5 linked regions of the Oryctolagus cuniculus genome follow. The protein of the gene in region 1 interacts with the protein of each later gene in a biochemical or structural test. Links are inferred from orthologs where the notes say so. Each region holds a gene or a part of one and is shown in the gene's direction. Other genes may lie near its edges.

Region 1 (4,436 bases):
TTTCTCCTAACCCTCATTCAGGAGGCCCTGCCCCTGACCAAAAAGTAGCAGGGATGGGATGGAGTGAGCAGAGCTGCGGTCTGCTTTGCTGTGATGTGTAAAGGCCAGCTGGTCCTAACCAGAGAGAAGACATTCCTCTCAAAGCACCTTTCCTTGCCAAAGGAGAGAGCTGTGGTCTGGCAGGAAGGAGAACCGTCCAGGGCAGCCCTTCTGGTGGTGTGGGGAGGATGCCCTCTGGGAACCTGTGTTTTCACTGCTTACCTAATAACAGTATAATTCAGGTGAACTTGAAAAACAGGTTTAGCTTGTGTGCAGGTGACATTGTGGAGGAAATGGTGAATTAGCAGTTGGGCTGGGCAGTGACTGCAGGGGTCACTGGGACTCACCCCCACTAGGATTTTGTCCGTTGTGGGCCTGTTAACAGAGGGATGTGCCAAAGCAGGAAGTGTTGCCTACCATTGGGCCTGTGTAGGTAGCAGGGTGTGCTTGTGTGCTAGTCAGGTGGTGTGACAAGAACCACTTCTCCAAGGAAAAAAGAGAAGCACTGTGGGGAAGGGGCTTGGACCACTGGTTCTCACAAGCCCTGCTGCTCAGGCAGGGTGAGGGTTAGGGCTGAAGAGCAGGCCAGGCCCAGTCCATTGGATTCTGGAGTCACAGGCAGTGTATGTGTATGCAAATAGAATCGTGGATGAGATCCCTGCAGCCTAAGTCCTGGTAGCCCCCTCTTCCTCACCTGCCTCTAGGCTCGACACAAACGATGTGGGCGGGGAGGGCAGGCCTCCTACTGCACAGGTCCTGCCTCCGTGTCCCAGCGTCCAGTGGTGCAGTGACAGTGTTGGGACCGTGAGTGCTGTGTGTGCAGAGTCAAGTTGACGCTGATACAGGCTGCTCTGGGGTGCATTGTAAGGGGACCTCTCCCCTTCCGTTCACCTTTGTCCTCATGTGTTGCTTTTTCCCAGTGCCTCCAGGAGTTGCCAGGCTTAGTGTGAAAATACGTTGCTGCCTGGTGGCATCTCCCTCCTGTGCCATTCTGGACAGGGTCATGAGGAAGGGGCAGTTTGCTGGTTTTTCTTTGTGTTGTGCCCAAAGCCTTCATTTTGAATTTTTCATTTTGGCAATCTCTTGGTTCTCCAAGACTTTGTATAACTTGTTGATGCCAGTGTGGTTTGTGTTTGGTGATTGGGTCGCCCACCCTCCACGCTACTCTTTAAATAGTCTTCCGTTTCTTGTCTTGTGTGTTTTCCTCCAAGTTCTGTTTGTTTGAGGCTTTTCAAAGAGGCGGCAGCTTCACTTTATGGAGGGCCTTCAGGTGCCACAATCCATATGTTTTTTTTTTTTCTTTTTTAAAGATTTATTTATTTATTTGAAAGGCAGAGTTACAGAGAGGCAGATGGAGAGGGAGAGAGGTCTTCCATCCGCTGGTTCACTCCCCAGATGGCCACAATGGCCAGAGCTGTGCTGATCAGGAGCCAGGAGCATCCTCTGAGTCTCCCACGTGGGTTTAGGGGCCCAAAGACTTGGGCCATCTTCCATTGTTTTCCCAGGCCATAGCAGAGAGCTGGATGGGAAGTGGAGCAGCCAGGACTCGAACCGGCAGACATACAGGATGCTGGTACTGCAGGCGGCAGCTTTACCCACTGTGTGTGTGGACAGATCTGTGGGGCCTTAGACCTCTGTTTTCTTCTGGAAGCTCCTTCAGCCCAGTGTTTCTCCCTGCACCCTGCAGGACTGAGGACATGCCCTTGGCCCGGCCCTATCTCCAGTATCCCAGGCACACCAGCCGCCGCTTCTTCCCTCCAGGTGTGTCTAGTCCGCTCATTAGCACAGTAAAGGTTTCCTTACATCTCAAAACTCCTGTGGTTCTTTTTGGATAGATGATGCGGTTCCCAACCAGACAGAACAGCAGTATCCAGGGCACAGACGCCAAGGTGAAGGGGCCCTGCTGTCTGGGGGGCTGGTGGCATCAGATCAGCAAAGGGCACTTGGGCAGGACAGGGAGGCTGTCCTTGTGGGGTGCTCAGCAGCGGCTGGGAGGCTGGTGTTACGACACAGTAGCTAGAGCTGCTGCTTGTGACACTGGCATTCCCTATCAGAGCGCCAGGTTGAGCCCTGGCTGCCCTGCTTCTAATCTAGCTACCTGCTAACACACCTGGGAAAGCAGCAGAAGATGGCCCGCGTGCTTGATGTCCTGCCACCCATGTGGAAGACCAGTATATAAATCTATTTAAAACAAAAACAACCAAAAAAAAAAAAAAAACAGCTGTAATTAAAGACATGTCAGGAGTCTGGCCATCTGAGGTGCAGTGTGTGCCGTGTGTCCAGCTGTCTCCTTCAGAGAGCCTCTGTTGCACACAGGGGCAAGTGCCGTAGGCAGTCCTGGCCTGGGCACTGGAGGGGCATCCCAAAGTACAGAGCCTCAAGGAGTGTGGCGAGGTCTCCAGCAGCAGTTCAGCAGTTAGGCGCCAGGGAGTGTCTGGGCCTTGCCTGCGCTCCTGTTGGAAACTGTGTCCAGTGCAGCAGTGTTGGAAGTGAGGCCTTTTGGGAGGAGCCTAGGTCAAGGTCCTGCCCTTATGAGTTCATTGGTGCCGCTGTGTAGGAGGGCTTGTAGGAGTGGGTTCGTGTCCTCTGAGGTCAGAAGGTGATCCTGACTTCAGTCTCCAGAGCTGTAAGCAGTATCATCTGCTGATGGAGATGCCCAGGCGGTGTCAGGACCCTCTGTCCTGTACCTGCTAGTCAGCACACAGTGAAGGCTGCATTCTTAGAGTGCTTTTTAAATTTGGAGTTAAACTGAAAGTGCCTACTGGGTGGTACGACCAGGGCCCCCTGGGCAGTGCAGTGGCTGGGAAGGTCCTCAGGTGTCTCGGGCTGGGCTCTGATGATTCTGATTCTGTATCCCTGTGTTGGTGTCCTGCTAGTGGACCCTGAGGGCCATGTGTGGGTCAGACATGGTACATGTCCCTATGTGATGCCCAGGGCTTCTTGTCTTGTTCTGTGAGTGCTGCCTGTAGATTGTATGCATAGCTCCTTGGCCTGTGCTCCTGAGACTTGCCGTGGGCAATCTTCTCTGGCCCCGGGGGGTGGGGGGTGGGGGGTGTTGGCTGCTTGTCTGGAGTTTTGTGGGGAAGAGGTGTTAGGTGATGCTGTGTCAGATCCTTCCGCATGCCCTGGGAAGCACGACTTCAGGTGGTGAATGTTCTCCCCGTGCTGCGTGGCCGGGGGAGTCAGGGAGTCCCTTGCAGCATCTCTGCTTTCCTGGATGAGTGGGCTTGGGAACTGCCTCCCGAGATGCCGACATCCCTTTTCCCCAGCCGTGGGGAGCCTGAATGGATAGGTAGGCAGGGTTCCTTTTCTGTTGCTCGTGTCCTGCCCTGTGAATTGAAGCACAGTGATGGGAGGTGTGTGTATCCTCAAGGGATTGGTCCCTAACTGTGCTGCTGGGCCCATGACTCGCCCCACAGAAACAGACCCAGCACCCTTTGTCTTCCCAGGTCTCTGGCTGTTGTAGCTTCCACGTGTGCACGACCATGGGGAATATCTTTGCAAACCTCTTCAAAGGCCTTTTTGGCAAAAAGGAAATGCGCATTCTGATGGTGGGCCTGGATGCTGCAGGGAAGACGACGATTCTGTACAAGCTGAAGCTCGGTGAGATCGTGACCACCATCCCCACCATAGGTGAGAAGCTAGGCCCTGGGCGCAGGTTTGGGGGGAAGCCCAAAGCGGGACTGTGGCTGGGGTCTGGGTTGGGCCCTGGTCTTCCAGGAGACACTTTTGCAACTCTGCTCCCAGGTTTCAACGTGGAGACTGTTGAATACAAGAACATCAGCTTCACCGTGTGGGACGTGGGTGGCCAGGACAAGATTCGGCCACTGTGGCGCCACTACTTCCAGAACACCCAAGGTGAGAGGAGGGCCTGACCTCCAGAGCATGAGTCCAGGGCAGCATGGAGGCCAGGAGGAGCCAAGCCCTGCAGCCACAGTGGCCAGCGGTGACCTTCAGGAGCGGGGTATGTGGGGGTGTTTTTGGCATTGTGTCGTGCCGGCTGTGTTGCAGGCTTGATCTTTGTGGTGGATAGCAATGACAGAGAGCGAGTGAACGAGGCCCGGGAGGAGCTCATGAGGATGCTGGCTGAGGATGAGCTGCGAGACGCAGTCCTCCTGGTGTTTGCCAACAAGCAGGTAGGCAGGCACCCAGCCCAGCCTTCAGGGCTGTGCCCTCAGTGGGGTGGACGGGGAGGGCTTGAGGTAATCTGGGGCTTTTGCTCTGGGGCTGGGCAGTTTTGCAGCCCCTTCTGCTGACTGCTGCTTTTCCCCAGGACCTCCCAAATGCAATGAACGCAGCTGAAATCACAGACAAGCTGGGGCTGCACTCCCTACGCCACAGGAACTGGTACATTCAGGCCACCTGCGCCACCAGCGGGGACGGGCTCTATGAAGGAC
Region 2 (5,541 bases), on another chromosome or scaffold:
AGGTTGATGTGTTTGACAGGCAGAGTGACAGCGACGGGGGATAGAGCTGGAGGGCTCCTCCGGCTGCGCGGTCACTGCCAGGCCTGGTCAGGCTGATGCCCGTGCTGGTGCCGGCGACGCGGCGTCACCTTTGTTCCCTGAGGGCACTTTGCTTCCAAGACGGATTCTCACCCTCTGGTGACGCCTCTGAGGCCCACGGCAGCCACCGCGTGCAGCTGGCGCAGCCGTTCCTCGACGAGGGGAAGGCTTTTTTTTTTTTTTTTTAATTTCTTTTTTATTTATTTGAAAGGCAGAGTTACAGAGAGAGTAAGGAGGGAGCGAGCGAGAGAGAGATCTTCCACTGGTTCACTCCCTAAATGGCTGCAAGGGCACGACTGGGCCAGGCCACAGCCAGGAGCCTCTTCCGGGTCTCCCACATGGGCGCAGGGGCCCAAGCACTTGGGCCACCTTCCACTGCTTTCCCGGGCCACAGCAGAGAGCTGGATGGGAAGTGGAGCAGCCGGGACTGGAACAGGTGCCCACGTGGATGCTGGCATTGCAGGTGGTGGCTTTACCCACCGTGCCACAGTGCCGGCCCAGGGAGGGCTTTTTAGACTAACTCAAAGTGAGGTGCAGAGACGGGCTGCGGGCGGTGAGCAGGTGTGGTCCTCAGAGCCTCACGCGGGGCCTGGCGGTCACACGGGGTTGGGCGGTCATGCGGGGCCTGCCAGTCAGCGGGGCCTGCCAGTCAGCGGGGTCGGGCGGTCACAGTGAGGCGGCCACCTTGCCATTCTGTGCCTCTCAGGGTTGGAGCAGTTTTACCACCGGAGCGAGCAAGTTCGCCTCAGCAGCTAAGGAGGGCGTAAGTACCTGGTGCCGTCTGGCCCTGGCCCTGGGGGCCGGGCTGTGTCGGGACCCCCGGGGCTCACCCCCCACGAGGGCCTCACACCCCCAGCAGAGTGGCCTGCGGCGTTGGCAGCTGCAGCTGCAGGTGCAGTGTCTCCAAGGGTCCGAGACGAGCTGCCTGTGGCGGGGCAGACGTGGCTCACCTGGTGGACAGGCCGTGGGCTCCTGTGTCCCTGAGCCCCAGCCTCTGGCCCTTTCAGAACACGGAGGGGCTGGGTTTTCTCTCACGTCTGCCTGCTCCTGGGTGTGAAGGGGGGATTCGGTCGGGACAGACAGTGACACAGGAGATGAGTGGGTGGGCCCTGAGGGGAAGGCCCAGGGCGCTCGGCCGGCGCGGCCCTGGGAGCCGCTGCTGGTCGAGCTGTGAGAAGCCGGCCCTGGGACGGAGTCGTGGGAGCCCACTGGCAGGAAGCGCAGGCCAGGCCAGGCCAGGCCAGGCCCAGCCGGGACTCACCAGCCCTGTTTCCCTCGCAGGCTACAAAGTTCGGATCCCAGGCCAGTCAGAAGGTAACCGAGGAGCTCTGCCCTGGCGCGTGCTGAGGCCTCCTCACGGCGCCACCGCGTGCTCGGGCGCTGCTGGTTCTTCCAGGGCCCCCCGCCAGACTCGTAGCGGGGAGTCAGGGTGGGGTGGGCCCCTCTGCCTCTGGGCAGGAGCCGCCTCCTCACCGAGCAGGCGAACGGGGCAGGGGGCTCTGCCCCTGGGGTGCAGCTCTGCTGCGGGTGGCGGTGGGGTCCACCATGGCCTTGCTGTTGGTTGGTGACCCCCGTGCGTGACACGTGGTCAGGGCTGGGGCCCAGGGCGCCCGCTGTCCCTGGGGGAGTCTCCAGGCCCTGCAGTTAGGCCGGTCCCTCACGGCCGCTGGCACAGCTCCTCAGGAGGGCTGTCTTCCCGCCATGCTGCCTCCCCGGGTGCTCGCCCAGGTCTGGAAGGCGGGAGCCGGGGGGAGGCCGGGACGCCCTGGCTCGGGGGGGTCTCAGTCCAGCCAAGGGCTGAGATCTGGAGGTGTTCCTGGGCGCTGTGGAAGCTGCGTGTAGCACCTCGCTCTCTCTCTCTCCTAACCTGCCTCCTCGCTGTCTGGGTCGAGTTTTGGGGTCACAGGCAGCAGCCAGAGCCGGTAAAGCCCTGTGCTCGGTGCACGCCGCGCGGTGCATGCTCTTGCCGGCCGCGGAGAATGGCTTCGTCCCCGCTGGCCGCCGAGATGGGGCTGCTGGGAGGTCTCCCTCCGCCCTTGGTGCCCACGGGGAGGTGGCCTGTGCTTCCTGTCACCGTGACGTGGCTCTCCCTAGCAGCGTCTGCCGGAGCCCCGGCCTCTGTCCTCCCTTCTGTCTGGGTGGTCAGGGCCTGGGTCAGGGTGCTCATGGGAGCCCAGTGCGGCCGGTAGGGCGGGAGCGAGGTCAGTTCTGTCCTCAGGTCAGGGCGCCTGGGCCGCCCAGATGTGTCTGTGTAAGCTGAGCCGCCAGCAGCTGTGGGGACAAGCCCGGGGCCCCGCTGCTGTCATGGGGGCCCTTCCTGGGGCGGGCAGCAGCCACGTGCACGTGGGGTGGCCCCTGCTGCCCTCCTCTGTGGCCCTGGGCACGCCGGTCCCACTGCCACCCCCCGTGGGCACCCGTGAGCTCTGCGGCTTCCTTCCCACAGGCCTCTGAGTTGGGCCACAGCCTGAACGAGAACATTCTCCGACCAGCCCAGGAGAAGGTAACGGGGCTGCGGCTGCGGCCGGCGGCCTGTGGGGGAGGGGCGGGGGCTTCTGTGGCCAGGGGCCTCTGCATGAGCCGCCTCCGAGGTCCCGGGCGAGCGCTGGAACCCCTCAGGTCTGGAACTCCGAGACCAAAGTCCTGTAAAAGACGGCTGCTTACGCTTTGGGGTCCCGGTCGGGAGGGGTGGGCACAGCACCCTGGGCCACCCCAGTGGACAAGCAGGTGTTGCCGTGCGTGTCCCCGGCTGGGGCTGGGGCTGGGCGCTGGCGGCTCGTGGCTGAGGGACGTGGCCAAGTAACTCATGGCTGCGTGTGCTCAGGCCCCCACAGGGCCGAGCTCAGAGGTGGTCTCACCCCTCCAGGGGTCTTACAGGCAGGGGGCCGCCTCAGACAGGACCTCCAGCCCAGCTCCCAGGGAGACACTGGCCTCCAGGATCAGTCACCACCGCCCGGGGGAGGCGCATCCTCCCCTCGTGCCCTCACGCACACGGGTCCCAGCCGTCCACGCACATGGCACAGGCTGTCCCAGCCGTCCACGCACACGGCACAGGCTGTCCCAGCTTCCATCATGCACACGGGCGCAGGCTGCCCTCACACACACGGGTCCCAGCTGTCCTCACGCACACGGCACAGGCTGCCCTCACACACATGGGTCCCAGCCGTCCGCGCACACGGCACAGGCTGTCCCAGCTTCCATCACGCACATGGCATAGACTGTCCCAGCCGTCCACGCACACAGGTCCCAGCCGTCCACACACACTGCACAGGCTGTCCCAGCTTCCATCACGCACACGACACAGGCTGTCCCAGCTGTCCACGCACACAGGTCCCAGCCGTCCACGCACACCGCACAGGCTGTCCCAGCTTCCATCATGCACACGGGTGTAGGCTGCCCTCACACACAAGGGTCCCAGCCGTCCGCGCACACGGCACAGGCTGTCCCAGCTTCCATCAAGCACATGGCACAGGCTGTCCCAGCCGTCCACGCACACGGGTCCCAGCCGTCCACACACACGGCACAGGCTGTCCCAGCTGTCCACGCACACGGCGCAGGCTGTCCTCACACACACGGGTCCCAGCTGTCCACGCACACAGCGCAGGCTGTCCTCACACACACAGCGCAGGCTGTCCTCATGCACACTGGCATAGGCTGTCCTCACACACACAGCGCAGGCTGTCCTCACGCACACTGGCTTAGGCTGTCCTCACGCACACGGCGCAGGCTGTCCTCACACACACGGGTCCCAGCCGTCCACGCACACAGCGCAGGCTGTCCTCACGCACACAGCGCAGGCTGTCCTCACGCACACTGGCATAGGCTGTCCTCACGCACACGGCGCAGGCTGTGCCGGGTCCCAGCTGGCCGTCCTGCGCTCTCCGCTGCCCGGTGCTGGTGCCTGCAGCGCCTTCTCCCCCTCCTTGATCTTTTTCCCTCCCTGGGAGTTGTTTTGTTATTCCCGCTTTGAGGGTGTAGGTGGGGGTTTCGGGATCCTGATGTTGCCCTGAGGGAGCCACGGGCCCCTGCTGCCCCTCGTCTGTCACGATGGCGCAGGGCCCCTGGGGACGCGGTGTCCTGATGCTGGCATCGCTGCTGGCCCACAGCCCGCTCCTGGGCGCCTGCTCCAACAGGGACGTTTGCTCCACGCAGGTGAAGGAGGGAAGGATTTTTGATGATGTGTCCAGTGGGGTCTCTCAGTTGGCGTCCAAGGTAGGGCAGCCCCGCCTGGCGTGGGCTCAGCCGAGCCAGTCTCCATATTCCGGGCGCCGCCCTGAGGGCAGGGCCGGCGGCCTCAGCCAGCTGTGGCGGGACCACCGTCCTCGAGGCGGTGCAGGGGGGCAGGGATGTGCCTGTTGCCTCTGGCTTGCGGAATATGGAGACAGCTTGGCCTGGCGGGGACTTGCCAGCCGCTAACCTGTCGCCTCCTCTGCCCTTGCTGCCGTGGCCTTTCCCGTGGTAAGTGCCCACACGCCTGCCACTGCTGCACGGCCTCGGGGTGGTCCTGGAGCTGCTGACTCGCAGGGAGGGCTCTGGGTGGGGCCTGCGCTGTCCCCTGCGTGTGGTGAGCCGGGCGCGAGGTGGCCCTGCCTGGGAGAGCTGTGTCTCCCGGCACGTGTGTGTGTCGTGTGTGACGTTTGACACCCTTACTTCTGAGTCTTGTCTGTGTCTTCGTGGGACCTTGCGATTGTCCATGCGTGTGCTTGCGTGGCACGTGCACCCGTGTGCTTGGAAGGGTCTGACCAGCCCCCCCCCTCCAGGTCCAGGGAGTCAGCAGCAAAGGCTGGAGGGACGTCACCACCTTCTTTTCTGGGAGAGCAGAGGAGAGGTAGGCGGCCCCCGGGCGCCCGGCCGAGGCTCTGGCTGGCGCACTCCCCCCAGCCTCGGGCAGCGGCTGCTCGGCGGCAGACGTTCCCCGTGGCGCAGGCGCGGCCCAGGGCGAGGGCAGGGCCGGGCCTCGCCCCTGCTGCCCCGAGTCACCGTCAGGGTTGGGGTTGGTGGGAAGGCCTGAGGGCTTCTGGGCTTTTCTGTCCTGATCCCCGTAAGAACCCAGCGTTGAGCGCTTTGCTGTCCGAGTGCCGCCCCCGGTGACAGACAGCGGCTGCGGAGGCCTCTGTCCCCTGCCTTCACCTTGTGTTCTGCCCCGGTGTTGGCGGCACAGCACCGCGGGGCGCTGGCCCCTGCTGGGTGGCGCAGGGCTGGGGGTGGGTGGGCCCAGAGCAGCCGGCTGTGAAGTTTTGCGGAAATCACCAGAGCTCCTGCCCCTCGCAGCTCCCAGAACAGCGGTGGGGACGGCGCGCAGGGCAGCGCCCTGGACCAGAGCTTCTGGGAGACCTTCGGCAGCCCCGAGCCCCCCAAGGCCAAGTCCCCGAGCAGCGACAGCTGGACCTGCGCCGACGCCTCGGCCGAGAAGCGGAGCTCGGACAGCTGGGACGTGTGGGGCTCGTCCGCCAGGAACAGCAACAG
Region 3 (6,023 bases), on another chromosome or scaffold:
GTCTCAGACGCACGGCTGTGGACCAGGCGCCCCCGTCCTGAAGTGCAGCGCAGTGTTAAAGCTGCGTGGCTTCTTGCACACAGTGGGATGGTGGGTTCCGGTGCCACCTCTGCCTCCTGCAGAGCTGTCTGGCCACACTGCTGAGTGTCCGCTTCTCACCTTGCGTGTCCAGACGACCTTTGAGCGCTGTGCAGCTGCGGCTGTGACATGTTCGACTCCTGCCAGGTCCTCGTGGTACTCTTGGGTGAGACGGAACGCCGGGCACCGCGGCCCTCTTTGGGGTGGCTTGCCCCCTTTCAGTCGTTACGGTAACAGCACCCAGCCTTGGAGGACTGGCACCCCGCCTTGTCGCTGTGCAGCCTGAGTGTATATTGAACGAATAAACGAACCGGTGGGAGAATGAAGAAATGAGTGAGCGCCGGCTCGGGGCGCCGTGTCCAGGTGGCGTGGCCCACTGACGGGTGTCACTTCAGGAGGGCTCACCCGTCTGCTCGCTGTAACATCCAGAAAGCAGGGTGCTTCCCACGGCAAGAGACACAGCATCGGAAGGCAGGTGTGGGCCTGGACAGTGTGAACTGCATGCCCCAGGGAGGGGCCACCCTCTGAGACTGAGCATCCCCTGACAGGGTGGCCCCTAGAAATGTTCCCAGGGCCTGTGCTGTGGCGTAGCAGGGCACGCCTCTGCCTGCAGTGCCAGCATCCCGTATGGGCACAGGTTCGAGTCCTGGCCACTCCACTTCTGATCCAGCTCCCTGCTGACGGCCTGGGAAAGTAGCACAGGATGGCCCAAGTGCTTGGGCCCCTGCACCCACGTGGGACACCCTGAGGAAGCTCCTGGCTTCGGATCCCCTCAGCTCTGGCCACTGCTGCCACTTGGGGAGTGAACCAGCAGGTAGAAGATCTCTCTTTCTCTGCCCCTGCCTCTCTCTAATTCTGCCTTTCAAATAAATAAATAAATCTTAAGAAAGTAAATAAATAAATAAATAATAAGTAAAAAAAATAAAAATAAATAAATCGCCCCATCTCAATTAAAAAAAAAAAAAAACAAGCAAACCACCCAGCAGTCTTTCTGGTTTATTTCATTGTCTGAACATGTAATTTCACCTGGGTAATGTTCCAGATTTGCTAGACTCTGACTTCTTTCAGCAGAGAGCCTACCTGCTTATCTTTCTGTTGCTTTCAGCGTCAGGAACAGAGTGGAGCCCCCGAGTGGTTGCTAACACAGTAGAGTGGGGTCACCGGCACCTGGTTTTTGCCTGCACATCACTAGCCCGTGCCGAGGCACTGCTTCGGCAGTCCCGGGCCTGGAGAAGCATCTGGTTTGATTGGCAGACTTTGTATTTGTCATGCTTCTCGTCTGAAACGCACATGCATGTCAGGACAGCATGGGGAACGCCGTGTTGACCAGGCACGTGTGACAGGCGTCCTCCCTGCATCCGATGTTCCCTGGGCCCAGTGTCTCGTGGGCGGATCTGATGGACGAGAAGCTCAACTTTTTAAGTAATCAAGGCTGGGCTGGGGCTGGGGCTGGGGCTGGGGCTGGGGCTGGGCCGGGGGCTGGGGCTGGGGCTGGGGGGCACAGCACGCTCAGCCTCTGCTTGTGAAGCCAGCGTCCCATGACGGAGTGTCAGTTCCCGTCCCGCCTGCTCCACTTCCACCCAGCTCTCTGCTATGGCCTGGGACAGCAACAGAAGATGGCCCAACTGCTTGGGCCCCTGCCACCCGCGTGGAAGACCTGGATGGAGTTCCCGGCTCCTGGTTGTTGCGGCAAATGGAGGATCTGTCTCTGTCTGAGACGGATGATATAGATCGATGCCCAGCGCAGAGTGTTACAAACCACACAGCCCTCCCTGCGGTGGTCAGAGTTCAGCAGCTCTTGTCTGCCTCCCCACTTTACAGGTGGACATCCTAGGTGGCCCCACCTGGCCTGGACAGGCAGGCCCTTCCTCCTGCCCCTCCCCACACACTGGGTCTCCTCCTCCTCCCTGGTTCTTGTCTTCCCGGGAGCCGGTACGAAAGAGAACCTTTGTGCTCCAACAAGTCCTAGCGTGGTCTGGTCTGCAGAGCTGCGTGCTGAGAGCGCCGCCCTGAGCCCACAGCAGGAGAGCGGCCCCTCCTTTGTCCTGTGCCCAGCCCTGGGTCGCGCGTCCCCTTAGGACAGGGCCAGCGCCGGCGCCGCGAAGCTCCGGTCCGCGCACTCGCGATCCAGCCCGGCGCTTGGGCACGCCGCGCTCGCCGCCGCCGCCGCCGCGCTCCCGAGCTCTGCCGGCTGCGCTGGGCGCGCGCGGCCCGCGGCCCCGCACGTCGGCCCCCGCCCCGCCCCGGCGCGCATTTCCATTTTAAACCGCCGCCCGCCCGCCCCTCGACCGCGGCCGGCGCAGCTGCCCGCGCGGCCCGGGCCCCGGGAGTGGCGGAGGCTGCCGAGTCGCCGAACGGAGCAGAAAAGGCCCGGAGATGCCCCGGAGATGCGAGCGGGCCCCGCGCCATAGACAATGAAGCCGCGGGCGCCGCCGCCCGCCCCAGGCCCTGCGCGTCTCGGCCGCACCTGCCGGCGAGGCCGTAGCCGCGCCTGACCGCCCGCCCGCCCGCCCGCCCGCCACCGCGCCCCGCCGGCCCATGGCTCAGCGCCCCGGGCCCGGACCCCCGCACTCGGGTCGCGCTGCGCACGGGCCGGCGGGCGCCAGGGGCGCCGTACCCGCAGCCTGAGCGCGGCCGCCTCTGCGCGGGGGGGCGTGGGCCCCGCTCCTGGCCCTCCCGCCGGCCCCCAGCACCTCTCCCGGGGACCCTCCTACCGACCGCCCATCGCTGCCCGCGAGCGCTCTGGCTGCCGCAGGGCCCCGGCGGGCGGCGCGACGGCCGCGGCCGGGGCACCATGTACCTGCTGGACAGCAGCGGCGAGCCCGCGTCGCCGCCCGCGGACGCGATGCCTCGCGGGACGCCCCCCAGGAAGACGGTCTACCGCATCTCCGTGACCATGGTCAGGAAGGAGCAGCTGGCCGCGTCCGGCCCCGACCCGCGCCCTGCTCGGCGGCCCCGGCCCCCGCGCTCCCCGGACGCGCCTGGGCGGCTCGTGGAGGAGGCCGAGGAGGCGGCGGGCGCTGAGGACTCCGAGGACCGCGAGCCGCGCGCCTGGGACTTGCGCACTTTCCGGACCCGCAGCACCGGGCAGCTGGAGCTGGGGCGGCTCCGGCCGTGCGCTCGCGGCCCGGACCCGGTGGACCTGGCCGGCGGCGGCCCTCCGGCTGCGGAGGAGGGTCCCAGCAGCCCCGACCTGGAGGGGGCCCGGGCCGCGCCCCTGCGGCGGAGCCTCAGTTTCAGGCACTGGAGCGGCCCGGAGGAGAGCCCGCCCCTGGGCGTCGGGAGGCGCCACGGCAGCTCCGGGAGCCTGACCTGGGATGCGGGCGACGGGGCCGCCGCGCAGCCGGCGTCGGAGAAGCGCAACACCCTGGACGTGGGCGAGGTGCTCAACAAGGGCGACGCGCGCTCGGACGCGGAGCGCTGGGAGTGCAGCAAGAGCAAGAACCGCACGCTGGACAACAGCGACCTGCAGCGGCTGGAGCGCGCGCGGGCCGCCGCCGCCGGCCCCGGCGCGGCCTCGGAGCGCCGGCTGCTGCGCTTCTTCAGCGGCATCTTCGCGCGCAGGGACGGCGCCGCGCGCCAGCGGGGTTATTTCAGCAGCCTGCGGCGGGCCCCCGCCGACGTGCACTCGTCCAGCGCCGAGAGCATCGGCGGGTCCCCGCGCAGAGGTGGGCAGCTGGGCCCTGGGCGCGCGAGGCGGGGGGGAGTGGCGGGAACGGACCTGGTCCCGCTCCGGCGCGGAGCAGCCGTGGGCCCTGCCTTGCCGGGTCAGGAGCCCCACGTAGACTGACACACTGCGGTTTTTCCCTAGCAGTCTTGCAGCATTCTGGAAGTTAATGAGTGCCGCCGCGGCTGTGTGTGTGTGTGTGTGTGTGGTCTTTGGGGGTCTGACCTGGACAGGGATCCCCTTGTCCAGCTCAGCCTTCTCCCTAAGCAGGCAGGGAGCTGGCTACCTGCAGCACGTCTGGTACCTGTGGCCTCCAGGGAGCCGTGCTTGGCTTGCGCAGCCTGGGGCGCAGGTGCAGCTGCCTGGCAGGAGAAATCAGCATTGGTCTTGGTTTATCCTGTGCCCCCCACCCCCACCCCCAGCCTGCAGTCTGGGCTCCCTGTCAGTGCTACCATCTGTGAGTGTTGTGCCGTGGGCTCAGCTGATTGGGCGGTTCTCACCTGCTGAGAGTTCCCGGCAGGGGTAGGGCAGGAGTGGAGGGTGGGGGTCCTTCTTGCTGCCAGCAGGTGTCTTGATGGGGAGAGGGCTTCGCCCTCCCCATCCTCCTGGGCAGGGTCCTGTTTCCCAGTAGGGCGCTCTGGCAAGCATCTCAGGTCTCTGATGGGACTTCTGGGGAGTGCCTCTTGCAGGAGTCAGTTAATTGCTAGCATTTGGGGGCCAGAAGCCTCCAGAGACTGCAAAACACAGATCCCGTCTGTGGTACTCGGAAGGGGTGTGGCTGGATGGTTGCACCCTGCTCACGTGGGCTGGGCATATGCCTTGACATCCCCTTATCATTAATCATATCCCTCATCCTAATGACCGGAGCCCACTGCTGGCAGAGAAAAGGTAGCTGGCAGGCTGCAGCGTGGCTTTTTTAAAAAATTATTCACGCTTGTATCCACTGGGCCACTCCCCAAATACCCACAACCCCTGGGCCTGGGCCAGACAAGCCAGGCCAAAGCCTGGAACTCAGGCCAGGTTTCCCACGTGAGTGGCAGGGGCCCAGCAACCTCAGCCTTCACCTCCGCCTCCCGGGGACTGGCAGGAAGCTGAAGTCGGGAGCCAGAGCGGGGCATGGAACCCAGGCACTCTGAGATAGGATGCGGGAATCCTGCCTGGACCTCAGCCCGTGGGCTGGGTGCCCACCGGTGGAGCGTGGCCTTTGCAGTAGTAGCTGTCAGCTTGGTGCCTCCTGGAGAAGTGGCTGTCGCAGGTTAGCTGCCCGCCCTAGGGAGTCGGCACAGAGGGGTCCCCGCGGTCGCTCGGGTACCCTGTAGGCAGAAGGGCCCTGTTCCCTTAGCTTCTGGTGACCCTCAGGGGCAAGAGGATGCCGGAGGTGTGGCAGGTGCGGTCTCCACGGGGGGAGTGTGGCCTGCCATCCCTGCCTGATTTGAACCTGCCTGGGGGCACTTCCTGTCTGACAGCAGCTGCTAGCCCACCCCTGCCTGGTCCTCTTACATATTAGGAAAGGGTGGGGGTTCTGGTTGGTGCTCCCCTGCCACGCACGGCCTTGGTTGGGTTCCGAAGTCTCACCTCTGAAAGGCTCGGCCCTCCCTCTAATAGCAGGCCTGCCGCTTTGTTCTTGTGGACTTCAGAACACATGGTAATTAGCTGCCTGGGTTCCAGACAGTCTCCCTCGGGGCGGGGTGGGGGTGGGGGTGCACAGACACGGCTTAGAACCGCACGGTGCCTATTGATACAAGCCAAAAGCCTTTGAGGTCTGAGTATTTCCCCTCTGTCAAATGGGCTGGTAGATTGAGAACAGTCGAGGTGTGAAGCCTGTTGGGATGTTTCCCTGTAGGGCAGCGGTAGTAATAATTACAGTAAGCCTGCGATGGTGATGGCTTGTCCCTGGTGGCCTGGTGGCCGGTCCTTCTGGGGTGGAATTACTTTGGCCTGAGATGTAATGACACTGCTAGGGTTGTGGGTTGCATCGAAAACCCGATTTTAATGAACTCGTTAAACACACAGGTGAGAACTCGGGGCCGTGCTTTGTTCTGAAGATCTAAGTGCCTGGTTTTTTCCCTCTTTTTAAAGTTGTACTTTTCATCTGGATGATTTTTTTTTTTTTTGCGTTTGGCTAAAAGGTGTGAATTACCATTGTTTGCGAGACTTGGGCAAGGCCAGTATCTGCTCCGGATAAACGGACCAAGCCCCCTCAGCTTTCAGGGCCTCTTGTGTTTTATTAGCCTTCTTGATTTTTATTAGAGTTCCCAGCTTTTATGTATTTCCCACG
Region 4 (6,070 bases), on another chromosome or scaffold:
CTGGGCTGTTGCAGCCATCTGGGGAGTGAACCAGCAAGTGGAAGATGGCTCCGTCTCTCACTGTCACCCTGCCTTTCAAATACATAAGTAAAAAGGACATCACAGGGCCAGCAAGGGGTAGTGGAACCATGGCTAATGGCCAAAGCCAGCTAGTCCCTGGCCTAGCTCTAGAATCTGGGCAGGGAGGAAGTAGCTCTGAACACCGGAATCTTCCCGTGGAGGGGAGAGGAAGTGGGTATTGTGCGGGAGATTGTCCCCCAGACTAAGGAACTGGGCACGCTGACGGGGGGTGTCTACAAGTGTTTCTGGGGAGGTCTTAGGCCCGCCCCCATGCTGCCATGTGGCTAATCATCCTGCAGGCTGGGAGCCAGCCGCAGAGGGAGCCAGTGCCAGGGCAGGGAGGAGGCGTCTCCACTCCCGTGCTGCAGGCCGAGGCCAGGCGCTGTCACTGCACAAGTACTGCTCAACCGGCTGTCCCCTTCGGGCTTCCCCGACCCCTTTTATCCTTCAGAATCCCCGTGTAATGACCGGATGGGATTAATTAGCTGGCCGCTCTCACAGCTCGCGGTGTCTGGGGAAGGGGCAGGGGACAATGGAGTCTCAAGGGGTGGGGGAGGATGTTAAGTTGGGGTGCAGTGACGAGGAGGGATTCGGTTTGGAAGGACAGAATGGGGGCAAAGCCGACACACGCCGTTCTCTGGCCGGGTAGGACAGGACCCGGGCCGCTCATAAAGGTCAGTGAGGGGATTAAAAGGCTCCATGTCTAATCCAACGGCTTAACCAGGTCCTGGCCCCGAATCCGTCCCCGCCCGCCCAGCCCAGGGACGGCAAATGAGGTGAGGCCCAGAGACTTCAGTCCCCGTGGTCTGACCACTCACAGGGGCTCGGCGGTTCTGTCCAGGCGGGACCTGCGCACCTGCCACCCCCGGCCGGGGCTGTGGAACGGGAGGGCCTGGGGCGCGGGGGGAGTCTGAGAGGGTCGGGGTGGGGGATGCCTGAACAGAGCAGAGCCGGAGTCGGGGGAGAGAAAGCAGAGAGGCGGCAGAGAAAAGAGAAAGAGGTAGAGACTCGGAGGGAGGATGCTACGCTAAGGGGAGGGGCTTAGGAAAGAGGGCGGAGCCGGTGCTGTCCCTAACGTCCCATTCTGCGTGACCGGTACCCGGGAGTGTAGCATTTGACAGAACTCCATTTCACTACGTCCTGACCCTGAAGCGGCTGGAGTGGTCATGTGGGGCGTTAAGGGAAGGGTCTGCACGTAGCAAGGGAGACGCGAGGCAAAAGGCCGGCGAAGCCGCTCATGGTTGCGCGGCAACCGCGGCGGTCCAAAGCCAGCGTGGCCGGCCGGGAGGTGTGGCTCACGGCCTAGGCCCCGCCCCCTAGCAACAGGACTAACAAAGTAACGCCCCCTGGCAACGTGCTGAGAGGCGGGGCTCGACTGACCCAGACTCCGCGCGCCCCGAGTCCTTGCGCAGGCTCAGTGTTCTCCGCTCGCGCACAGCCCCACCTCCTCACAACGCCTTTGCGAGGCTTCTCATTGGTGGACAGGCTTGCCAAGGGCATTCTTTTGTTTCGGGGGCGGGGCCTGGCGCCCTGCCCGCACCCCGATTGGGCCCCCTGGCTGTCTACCTCCGGCCGGACATGCCTAACACCTGTTTCTTGTGTGCCTATTGGCCTGGGCGGACTGTCCTTTGGCGTCGGGGGGCGGTGCAGCCCGGAGGGGTCGCCGCGGATTGGGCGGTGTCAAGACGAGGGGCGGTCCCTACCGGCCGGGCGGTTGGGCGACGAAGGGAGAGTCTTTTCAGCGCTGAGGACTGGCGCTGAGGAGGCGGCGGTGGCTCCCGGGGCGTTTGAGCGGGCTCACCCGAGCCCGCGGGCCAGCGCGGATCCAGGCCCGACTGGCGGGACCGCCCCGGACTCCCCGCGGGCCTTCCTCGCCGCCATGGAGGACGGCGTCTACGGTAGGCCGGAGGGGCGGGGCCGTGGAGCGGATGGAGCGTTCCCTGGCGAACGCCCCGCCGCCGGCGTTCGCGCCCGGCGCCCGCCGCCCGGGGTCCTCGGCGCCGCCGTCGCCGCCGCGCTGGCCGGGGCGCCGGGCGGGCTTCCGGCGGGGTCCGCGAGCGCGGGGCGTTCCGGGCCATTGTCTGGGCCGAGCCCGTTTCCGGCGTCGGCGGGAGGGGGCGGGATGGCGCGGCGGAGGCGAGGCCGGGGCGGAACCATTCCCGCCGGAGGGGCCGGGCGAGCCCAGCGGCGGGCGGGGAGGGGAGGCCGTGGGGGCTGCCGGGTCCGCCGAGGCCCGGCCGCGCCGTCCCGACTCCGCGGGCTGCCGTCGGCTTCTCCTGCCGTGGTCACTTCCCTTGGACCCAGGGCTTCCGAAGACCCAGGCCCATCTTCCCCCGGGCCCCCCGGCCGCCGCGCCAGTAATGGAATCAGAACACCACGGCCGCTTTCCAAGTAATGGACCCGGAGGCCGAGGCTCCCACGCGGGTTCCCCCTCAGACTCTGGGGGCCGGGCCCTAAGCCCCCCCGCCCCCCCCGGGACTCCCGGCCTCAGCCCTGGCCTGAGCGGTCCAGGCTGCTAGTGCCCCCTTCATCCGAGGCAGGCGCCTCACCTGCGTCCTGCCCCAGCCCCGTCTCGCCCCACGTTGCAAGCATGCAGGCTCCCGGCCCCAGGGCTGACCCTCGGCACCCCGACCCCGGCCCCGCAGAACCCCCAGACCTGACGCCGGAGGAGCGGATGGAGCTGGAGAACATCCGACGGCGGAAGCAGGAGCTGCTCGTGGAGATCCAGCGCCTGCGGGAGGAGCTCAGCGAGGCCATGAGCGAGGTGGAGGGGCTGGAGGCCAACGAGGGCAGGTGAGGGCCGGGCCCGGGGCGGGCGGCCCGAGCCAGGCCGGCCCAGGACGCCAGGCCTGACCCTGGGCCGCCGCCCCCGCCCTGCTTCGTGTCCCCTGCAGTAAGACCTTGCAGCGGAACCGGAAGATGGCAATGGGCAGGAAGAAGTTCAACATGGACCCCAAGAAGGTACCGGGGGCCAAGGGCTGGGTGCTGCCGGGGGGCGGGGGGTTGTAGCAGGTTTGTCCCCAGTCCCTGGACTCAGCTACTGGCTGTCCGCTTGCGCTGTGAGCCCTGAGCAGTCCAACCTCTGGGGAGGCGCCAGACACCAGGCTGTGGACAGCCAAACGGGGAGCCTGGGGGGCTGCCCCGAGGAGGAGACCAGGTTAGGTTTGGAGGATGGAGAGGCGTTCACCAGTTGGAGGAAAGACTTTTTTAAAAGGGGGAAAGAGAGGGAGGGAGGTCCCAACAGCCAGGGCTGGGCCAGGTCAAAGCCAGGAGCTTCTTCCGGGTCTCACGCACAGGTGCAGGGGCCCAAGGACGTGGCCATGATCTGCTGCCTTCCCGGCACGTTAGCAGGCGGGTGGCTTGGAAGTGGAGCAGCCGGGACGCGCACGCTGGCCCAGCATTGCTCACCCAGTCGTTCATTTAACACCCGTTTTCCAGTGCCTCCCGAGGGCCCGACCCTGTGCCGGGCGGAGCTGGGGACCCAGGGAGGAGAGGCCCTGGACACAGACCCACCGCCCAGAACGAGCTGTAGCTGCAGCGTAGGGGCTGCACGGCCAAGAGGGCGCCGAGGAGCCTCCAGGCCGCCTGGGGCTCGGTGTCCACCACTGCTGCCCACTGACACCGTCACTCAGCAAGCAGGTGTTCAGCGTGGACCTAGCCAGGCAGGGACAGGGAGGCTGAGGTCCAGGCACCTGTGACGGCCTGGCCCCGGGCACTGAGAGCCCGCTCTCGCCCGCCAGGGGATCCAGTTCTTGGTGGAGAATGAACTTCTGCAGAATACCCCCGAGGAGATCGCCCGCTTCCTGTACAAGGGTGAGGGGCTGAACAAGACAGCCATCGGGGACTACCTGGGGGAGAGGTGAGCCCCTTCATGCCTGCCGGCCTCGCTCCCTGGGCAGGGCCCCTGCACACTGGCCCTCGGACCGGACTGCTGCGGAGTGTGTGTGTCTGGGTGTGGGCGGCCTGCCAGCGCCCAAGACGGGGGTCCCCTTATAGAGAGCATCCAGGAGCATCACGGGAGTGGGAGAACCAGGCATGGGCTGCAGGTGTGCGTGGGAGCTGTCTGGCCAGCCAGGGAGTGTGGGGACGCGTGGCAGGCCCCTAGGGAGCACGGACCCCGTGGACATCTAGGCGATGTGCAGCTGGGTGATGGCTGGGGAGCATGTGGCTGGCGGGGGGCATTGGCAGGCCTTCATGGCCACTGGGGTGCACGTCTAGGGGCCAGGGCACCGTGTCCACATCTGGGGAGTGTGGGGTCGTCTGAGGGGGCAGGAGGTGGCGTGGGTGGTGGGTGCGAGTCTCCCAGCAACGGTGCAGCTAAACTTGAGCAGCCCTGCCGTGGGGCCAGGCGGGAAGCCGCGTTCCCTGCCGAGGGCCAGCTGCCCCAGTGCCCCCTGTGCGTTCCTGTGTGTGTGACTGTCCTGTGCTCGCAGGGAGGAGCTGAACCTGGCCGTGCTCCATGCTTTTGTGGATCTGCATGAGTTCACCGACCTCAATCTGGTGCAGGCCCTCAGGTGAGGGGAGGGGTCGGGGGGGCAGAAAGTCACTTTCCTTAGTCCGGAGTGGTGAGCCCCACCCCACACAAAACTAGGGAGTTGATTGCTTCTTGTAATGCCAAAGTCCATGAGTGAGCCTCCTCCAGGCACGGCCGTATCCAGGCGCCCTCTTCGCTCGTCGTGTTGGCATTGAGCTTCTTGACCTTCCTACGTGGCACCAGAAGCCCGTAGCAACCACCAGACCTGTTTAGAAACCTCAGAAGAAGTATTTTTAATTTTCATTTTATTCGAAAGGCAGAGAGAGACCTAGGCAGAACAGCCAGGGTTGGGCCACGCTGAAGCCAGAAGCCCAGAGCTCCATTCGGTCTCCATGTGGGTGGCGGGGCCCAGGTACTTGAGCCGCCAGCTGCTCCCTCCCAGGGTGTGCGTTGGCGGGAAGCCGGGGAGCAGGGACTGGAACAGGATGCGGGCGTCCAGGCAGCGCCCCAGGGGCCAGAGCTGCACTGGCAGTGCCCCCCGGTCAGACCGGGTCACGGGCCCCTCCCTGAGACGCAGGCGGAGGCCTGGCCGCTTGGGTCTCTCGCTGGCCGGTCCCTCCCACGGCTCCGGGGGAGGGGCTCCTGCTGGTCCTGGCGCCCACACCCGCCCCGCCCCCAGGCAGTTTCTGTGGAGCTTTCGCCTCCCTGGGGAGGCCCAGAAGATTGACCGAATGATGGAGGCCTTTGCCCAGCGCTACTGCCTGTGCAATCCTGGCGTCTTCCAGTCCACAGGTGAGGGTGCAGGCCCCTGGGGCGGCGGGGCCGGGGGCGGGGCCGGGGGCGGGGCCGGGGCCAGGCGGTCACCGCCTCCCCTGGCCACCCGCCGCAGACACCTGCTACGTGCTGTCCTTCGCGGTGATCATGCTGAACACCAGCCTGCACAACCCCAACGTGCGCGACAAGCCGGGCCTCGAGCGCTTCGTGGCCATGAACCGGGGCATCAACGAGGGCGGGGACCTGCCCGAGGAGCTGCTGAGGGTCAGGCTCCTCCTCCCTGCCCCTGTCGCGGCCGCCTCCCCTGCCTGGGGCCTCCCAGGTGCTGCTGTCCTGGGGCTGCCTGAGCACTGCCCTCCCCTCCCACACATGGCCCCATCCTGCCGCCTGGCGCGATTCTATTTTTTTTTCAGTTTTTTATTTTCTTCTCTGTGGTCTCTGTCTCCGTCTCTGTCAGCGGCCCTGAGCTCCAGGCCAGTGTCTCTCTATCCCTGTCCTAGGCCCCATCTGCTGTTGCTCTTTCTTTCTGTCTCCCCATTCCCCCGGCTTCCTGCCTCTGCTTCCGCTTCTCCCGTCCCCCGCTGGGTGGCCCCGCCACACTCTCCCTGCCCCCGGCGAGCCCTGGGAGGGGCGCGGGAGCCCCGAGTGGCTGACCAGGCCTCCGCCCCCCAGAGCCTCTATGACAGCATCCGCAACGAGCCCTTCAAGATCCCCGAGGACGACGGCAACGACCTGACCCACACCTTCTTCAACCCGGACCGC
Region 5 (6,206 bases), on another chromosome or scaffold:
CTGAGGTGCCGGCATCCCATATGAGCACCAGTTCTAGTCTCGGCTGCTTCTCTTCTGATCCAGCTCTCTGCTATGGCCTGGGATAGCAGCAGAAGATGGCCCAAATCCTTGGGCCCCTCACTCACGTGGGAGACCCAGAAGAAGCTCCTGGCTCCTGGCTCTGGCTGTTGCAACCATCTGGGGGAGTGAACCAGTGGATGGAAGACCTCTCTGTGTGTCTCTACCTCTCTCTGTAACTTTCAAATAAATAAAAACATAAGTTTTTTTTTTTTTGACAGGCAGAGTGGACAGTGAGAGAGAGAGACAGAGAGAAAGGTCTTCCTTTGCCGTTGGTTCACCCTCCAATGGCCGCCGCGTCCAGCGCGCTGCGGCCGTTGCACTGCGCTGATCCGATGGCAGGAGCCAGGAGCCAGGTGCTTTTCCTGGTCTCCCATGCGGGTGCAGGGCCCAAGCACCTGGGCCATCCTCCACTGCACTCCCTGGCCACAGCAGAGGGCTGGCCTGGAAGAGGGGCAACCAGGACAGAATCCGGCGCCCCGACCGGGACTAGAACCCGGTGTGCCGGCGCCGCTAGGCGGAGGATTAGCCTAGTGAGCCGCGGCGCCGGCCAAAAAAATAAGTTTTTAAAAAATTGCAGTGATACACACATTATGCTTAATAGAGTGTCTAATCTTAGAAATTGGCATTATGGAGCTGCATTGTGACACTGAGGGTTTAGCCACCATGTGCAATGCCGACATCCCATTTCAGAGCGATGGTTGGAGTCCCAACTGCTCCATTTTTTTTTAAAGATTTATTCATTTATTTGAAAGAGTTACAGAGTGAGAGAGAGAGGGAGGGAGAGAGGAAGGGGGAGAGAGAGAGAGAGAGAGAGAGATCTTCCATCCATTGGTTCACTCAGATGGCTGCAATCTTCCATCTGCTGGTTCACTCCTCAGATGGCTGCAATGGCCAGTGATGGGCCAGGCTGGAGGCAGGAGCTTTATCCAGGTCTCCCACATGGGTGGCAAGGGCCATCTTCTGCTGCTTTCCCAGGCCATTATCAGGGAGCTGAATCAGAAGTGGAACAGCCAGAACCTGAACTGATGCCCCTATGGGATGCCAGCATTGCAGGCAGCAGCTTTACCTACTGTGCCACAACACCAACCCCTGTCACCCACATGGGAGACCCTGGTGAAGCTCTTGGCTTCCCCCTGGCCCAGCCCTGGCCATCTGGGGTCTCCCTCTCTCTCTGTAACTCTGACTTTCAAATAAATAAATACGTTTTAAAACTTGACTCTCACATGTTGGCCATTGTAGAATATCTGGAACTACTGAAGATTGTGGAAAACAACTTGGCGGTTTCATGTAGGTTAAACATACACTTATATAACCCAGAAACCCGACTGCTTCATTTTTGATCCAGCTCCCTGATAATGCAACTGGGAAAGCAGCAGGTAACTGCCCAAGTGCTTGGGCCCCTGCCATCCATGTGGGAGACCTATATGGATCTCCTGGCTCCTGGCTTGAGCCTGGCCCAGTCTTAGCTGTTGTGGCCATTTGGAGAGTGAACCAGTGGATAGAAGATCTATCTCTCCTTCTTGCTATTTCACTCAGCCTTTCAAATAAATTAAACCTTTTAAAAAAGTTAACTATCAAGGGCCTGACTTCGTGGCATAGAGGGTAAGGCTGCTGCCTGCAACACTGCCATCCCATCTGGGTGCCACGTCTTGTCCTGGCTGCTCCACTTTGAATTCTGCTCCCTGCTAATGGCCTGGGAAAAGCAAAGGAAGATGGCCCAAGTGCCACCTACGCGGGAGACCCTGATGAAGCTCTTGGCTTCCCCCTGGCCCAGCCCAGACCATCTGGGATCTCCCTCTCTGTTAACTCTGACTTTCAAATAAATAATATATTTTAAAAATTGAATCTAGCGTGTTGGCCATTGTAGAATACCTGGAACTACTGAAGCTTGTGGAAATGTGAAAATTGTGGAAAACGACTTGGCAGTTTCTTGTAGGTTAAACATACACTTATATGACCCAAAAACCCTACTGCTATTTACTCAAGAGAAATAAAAGCCACACAAAGACTTATACAGGAATGTTTATAGGAGTTTTATTCAGAGCAGTCAACTAGAAACAATCCAACCGTCCATCAGGAGTAGATAAAGCAACCTGCTTAGCTTAAAAAACAGAAATGTAACAAAATGTCATTTTCCCTGGACTGTCCTTGTTTAAAAGTTCAGAGTCTACCACGGAGCAGGCGCGCAATAAATGTTTGGTGAATGAATGTAAGGGTGCATTTCCCCTCATCCCCTCCTTCTACAAACGCTCTCCGGGAAAAGGAGGCACCTGCAGGTGCCCCCGCGGAAGCGCGGCCAGCCTGGGGCCCGAGGCAGCGCAGCTGGTGGAGAGGCCAGCGCGGAGGGACGCGCGCGGTTGGAGCGCACACTGGGTGGCGACCGGGTGCCCTCGGACCGAGGGCACAGCCAGGCTGGGCGAAGGCGGCCCCCGGGCGGTGGGAGGTCCCCGGTCTCGCCGGGCCGGGCCGGGCCGGGCCGGGGCGGGCCGAGGGCGGCGAGGGCGGCGGGGGCGGGACGCGCTAGGCGAGAATCCCGCGGAGGGGAGGCCGGGGCCCGTCCCGCCCCCGAGGGCAGGCCCGAGCCCCGGCCCCGCCCCGGCCCGCTGGGGTGTGGGCACCGGCTCCGGCTCGCGTTCGCCTCCGCTTCCCTCGGCTCGCGAAACCGCGCGGGCGCCGGCTGGAGCTGCCAGGGTGAGGGGGCCGGGCTGGGGGCGCCGCGGGGGTGTCGCGCCCCGGAGAGCGGGCGGGGACGAGACCGGCTGCGACCGGCGGGGGCCTCTGACTCAGCCGCACGCTCAGATTGCAGGAATCTTCTCCCGGGCAAGGAGCGCGCAACTTCCTCATTCCCGCCGGGACCCCCGCGCTCGGCCGGCCTGGCCCGGCCCGAGCCGCGTTGGCCCCGCGCTCTCTGGTTTCTGCGCTGCCCTAGTTCGGGACATCCGGGCTGGGTTGGGTGTACCCCGGGGGCTCCGGTTCGCGAGAGGGCGGAGTTGAGGGATCCTGCATCCTGGGGTAGGGGATGGAGGTTCTAGCCGCGTCACGGGGAGGTGGCCGGGCAGGAGGAGGTGAGAGGCGCAGGTGCGAGGCTGGGGGGTGGGACCTGCAGGGCTGATCGCCCCCCTGAGGCGGCCCCGCATTCCTAGATGACGGCGACCCCCAGGAGCCCCTTCTCCTCTGGGGACGACCTGGACTCCAGCCAGTTACAGATGGAGCCGGATGAGGTGGACACGCTGAGGGAGGGAGAGGACCCAGGTACTCAGGATCAAGGCCCCCGGGGGAGGGGAGCCGGGGAGGGCTGGGGCCCTCCTGGGGGCTCCAGTCTTGGACTTTGTCTCCTCCCAGCTGACCGGATGCACCCCTTTCTGGCCATCTACGACCTTCAGCCGATGAAAGCGCGCCCCTTGGTGTTCGCCCCTGGGGTCCCTGTCACAGCCCAGGTGGTGGGCACCGAAAGATACACCAGTGGATCCAAGGTGGCCAGGCAGGCCCCGGGGTGGGGGGGTGGGGTGGGCGTGGCTTTGGCCAGAGGGGAGGGGACATGGATTCAGCGACTCACATCCTCAGGTGGGAACCTGCACTCTGTATTCAGTCCGCCTGACGCACGGTGACTTTACCTGGACGACCAAGAAGAAGTTCCGTCATTTCCAGGAGCTGCACCGGGACCTCCTGAGACATAAAGTCCTGATGAGTCTGCTCCCCCTGGCCCGGTGAGGGGAGCCCAGCTGCATGGGGAGGGCAGACGCCCCTCGACCCGCGGCAGCCATTGCTCCTTTCTGTGCAGCCCACCCCCAGGCACCTCCCGGCCCCCAACTCCCCTGACCCTGGTTACTAGGAAACTTGCCCTGCTCAGCTCTCCCTGGCTGCGGTTTCGTGCCAACATCTCAGCTGGGCTGGGTGCCCAAAGTGGCCTTGGCAGCCTCTCCAATCCCAGGACAGGGAGGTCTGCCTTGTGCCAGCCCCCTGACCTCCTCCCAGACCCCAGCAGCCCAGCCTGCCAGTGCCTTTGCCCCCACCTGCGCCTCCACACCAGGCTTGGGACAGGGCCTGACCCGCACCCCATCCCTTCCGCAGCTTCGCTGTTCCCTCTTCTGTGACCCGAGAGGCCACCAACAGAGAGATGCCCTCTCTACCCCGAGCAGGTCATGAGGGCTCCAGCAGACACACAGCCAGCAAGCAGGTGCGGCAGACACCTGGTTCCCTGGGAAGGCGTCCCTCTGTGCACGTGGCTCTGGTCCCACCTGTTTCTCTTTCCCATTCCCACTTCAGAAATACCTGGAGAATTACCTCAACCGCCTCTTGACCATGTCCTTCTACCGCAACTACCACGCCATGGTGAGGTCCCCGAGGGGACGATGGGCCTGGGTCCACGGGGCCACGAGGGACCAAAGGCCAGGGGGCTCCTCTGCACTTTCGTCTTCCTCTGCAGACAGAGTTCCTGGAAGTCAGTCAGCTGTCCTTTATCCCAGACCTGGGCTCCAAAGGATTGTGAGTGTGGAACACCCCTCCCCCAGCCGTCTGCAGCCCTCACTCCCCAGCCCTTCCCGCCTGAGAACGGGGCGGGCAGGGGGCTGCAGCCCTCATCCAGCGTCTCTTCCTGGTTGTCCCCACAGGGAGGGCGTGATCCGGAAGCGCTCGGGTGGCCACCGCGTCCCTGGCCTCACCTGCTGTGGCAGAGACCAAGTTTGTTATCGCTGGTCCAAGAGGTGGGGGTGGGGACTGAGCAGCTGAGCGGGGGCTGGGGGTGAGGAAGGGGAGCTGGCGGGCAGGGAGGAACCGGAGCCCTTCCGTCCAGGTGGCTGGTAGTGAAAGACTCCTTCCTGCTGTACATGACCCTGGAGACCGGCGCCATCTCCTTTGTTCAGCTCTTCGACCCGGGCTTCGAGGTACAGGTGGGGAAGAGGAGCACAGAGGCACGGTATGGGGTGCGCATCGACACCTCCCACAGGTGAGGGCTCCCCGGGGTGAGGGGACCCAACCTGCCACCCTCAGGGGGGTTCATGCGGGGCCGGGGGACTGTGGCAGAGAGGAAGGGAAGGCTTTTCCAGTGCCTGGGATCCAAGTAGTTTTGAACCTGGGAACTGGTCCAGCCACATGCTTGGGATGCTCTTACAGTCTGGGGCCAGAGAGAGCAGCCCCTGTAAGCCGGAGCGGGGGTGGGGGGGAGGGTGGGGGGGGCGTGCTCCCAGTGGAAGAGAAGCTCCCTTCTCATTTGCTCATTTGACGAACCTGAGTGCCTGAGCCAGGGCTGCTTGCTGGGCCCCGGCCAGGAGTTAAGTGTAGCCTGGCCCCACGGAGTCCTGATTAAGGACTAAGGGAGGAAGTAGGAAAAGGCTGAAACAGGGAGGTCCTTGGCAGGGTATGAAGGGCCAGGACCACTGGCCCCGTCCTCGTTCCCCTCCAGGTCCTTGATTCTCAAGTGCGGCAGCTACCGGCAGGCCCGGTGGTGGGCCCAGGAGATCACCGAGCTGGCTCAGGGCCTCGGCAAAGACTTCCTGCAGCTGCACCGGCATGAGAGCTTCGCCCCGCCCCGGCCTGGGACCTTGGCCCGGTGGTGAGACCCTGCTGTCCCTTCTGAGCCTGTGTGTGTGTGGCCTTCCTGACCCCCTGAGTTCTGTGGGTCCTCGGTCCTCTCTTATCCCTCTGACCCCTGCTGACCTCAGTGACCCTCCCTGACCTCCAGCCTCTTTAACCACACTGATCCCCCTGACTCCCCTCTGACCTTTCTGACCCCCAGGCTCGGTAATCTCCTCTGACCCCTGATCTCTCTGACCTCATACGACCTTTCAGATCCCCGCTACCACCCTGAGCTGCTCTCCGGGATCTCAGACCTCTCTGGTACATTTCTTCATTTAGTAAAGGTTTCCTAAGCACCTGCTATGTGTGGGACGCAGGCTTCTATGGTTGAGGGAAGTAAGTAATCCCATCATGAAATATCGTGATAGATGCAGGGCACCGAACACAGACTGGGGGCGTCTGCCCAGCGTGAGGACCTGGGGACAAACTTCTAGAAGGCAGTAACCTCAAGGCTTGCTTAGCAAGACAAAGAAGAGGCCGCAGGGCAGTGCAGGCAGAGTGGACAGAAACAGCCTGGCGGGTCTGGGATCCTTGAGGCCTGAATATGGCTACAAAGCAGGGAGCAGCTGTCG

The links.
Region 2: the proteins of ARF1 (region 1) and ARFGAP1 form a complex in vitro, tested with the Homo sapiens proteins (2 studies listed by BioGRID, with this or other methods). The link is inferred for Oryctolagus cuniculus from reciprocal best matches to the Homo sapiens genes ARF1 and ARFGAP1.
Region 3: of the proteins of ARF1 (region 1) and AGAP1, one has a biochemical effect on the other in vitro, tested with the Homo sapiens proteins (2 studies listed by BioGRID, with this or other methods). The link is inferred for Oryctolagus cuniculus from reciprocal best matches to the Homo sapiens genes ARF1 and AGAP1.
Region 4: the proteins of ARF1 (region 1) and CYTH2 are reported together in a solved structure, tested with the Homo sapiens proteins (3 studies listed by BioGRID and IntAct, with this or other methods). The link is inferred for Oryctolagus cuniculus from reciprocal best matches to the Homo sapiens genes ARF1 and CYTH2.
Region 5: the proteins of ARF1 (region 1) and PLD2 form a complex in vitro, tested with the Homo sapiens proteins (2 studies listed by BioGRID). The link is inferred for Oryctolagus cuniculus from reciprocal best matches to the Homo sapiens genes ARF1 and PLD2.

Annotation. Positions count from the first base shown.
Region 1 is NC_091437.1:240,813-245,248, forward strand, and holds part of ARF1 (ADP-ribosylation factor 1), read left to right. Parts: exon of another isoform or gene 1-1,800; intron 1,801-3,488; 5' UTR 3,489-3,524; coding exon 3,525-3,672; intron 3,673-3,786; coding exon 3,787-3,897; intron 3,898-4,050; coding exon 4,051-4,175; intron 4,176-4,312; coding exon 4,313-4,436. UniProt on the Homo sapiens protein: Small GTPase involved in protein trafficking between different compartments. Modulates vesicle budding and uncoating within the Golgi complex. In its GTP-bound form, triggers the recruitment of coatomer proteins to the Golgi membrane.
Region 2 is NC_091442.1:562,282-567,822, reverse strand, and holds part of ARFGAP1 (ADP-ribosylation factor GTPase-activating protein 1), read left to right. Parts: intron 1-784; coding exon 785-841; intron 842-1,359; coding exon 1,360-1,392; intron 1,393-1,970; coding exon 1,971-2,000; intron 2,001-2,521; coding exon 2,522-2,578; intron 2,579-4,227; coding exon 4,228-4,287; intron 4,288-4,835; coding exon 4,836-4,903; intron 4,904-5,346; coding exon 5,347-5,541. UniProt on the Homo sapiens protein: GTPase-activating protein (GAP) for the ADP ribosylation factor 1 (ARF1). Involved in membrane trafficking and /or vesicle transport.
Region 3 is NC_091434.1:4,210,052-4,216,074, reverse strand, and holds the start of AGAP1 (arf-GAP with GTPase, ANK repeat and PH domain-containing protein 1), read left to right. Parts: upstream 1-2,323; 5' UTR 2,324-2,872; coding exon 2,873-3,746; intron 3,747-6,023. UniProt on the Homo sapiens protein: GTPase-activating protein for ARF1 and, to a lesser extent, ARF5. Directly and specifically regulates the adapter protein 3 (AP-3)-dependent trafficking of proteins in the endosomal-lysosomal system.
Region 4 is NC_091449.1:8,591,523-8,597,592, reverse strand, and holds the start of CYTH2 (cytohesin-2), read left to right. Parts: upstream 1-1,972; 5' UTR 1,973-1,988; coding exon 1,989-2,451; intron 2,452-2,705; coding exon 2,706-2,853; intron 2,854-2,954; coding exon 2,955-3,021; intron 3,022-3,800; coding exon 3,801-3,919; intron 3,920-4,493; coding exon 4,494-4,574; intron 4,575-5,213; coding exon 5,214-5,326; intron 5,327-5,423; coding exon 5,424-5,572; intron 5,573-5,980; coding exon 5,981-6,070. UniProt on the Homo sapiens protein: Acts as a guanine-nucleotide exchange factor (GEF). Promotes guanine-nucleotide exchange on ARF1, ARF3 and ARF6. Activates ARF factors through replacement of GDP with GTP.
Region 5 is NC_091448.1:51,410,967-51,417,172, reverse strand, and holds the start of PLD2 (phospholipase D2), read left to right. Parts: upstream 1-2,616; 5' UTR 2,617-2,751; intron 2,752-3,203; coding exon 3,204-3,312; intron 3,313-3,402; coding exon 3,403-3,533; intron 3,534-3,624; coding exon 3,625-3,767; intron 3,768-4,131; coding exon 4,132-4,237; intron 4,238-4,326; coding exon 4,327-4,392; intron 4,393-4,486; coding exon 4,487-4,545; intron 4,546-4,670; coding exon 4,671-4,763; intron 4,764-4,852; coding exon 4,853-5,005; intron 5,006-5,461; coding exon 5,462-5,611; intron 5,612-6,206.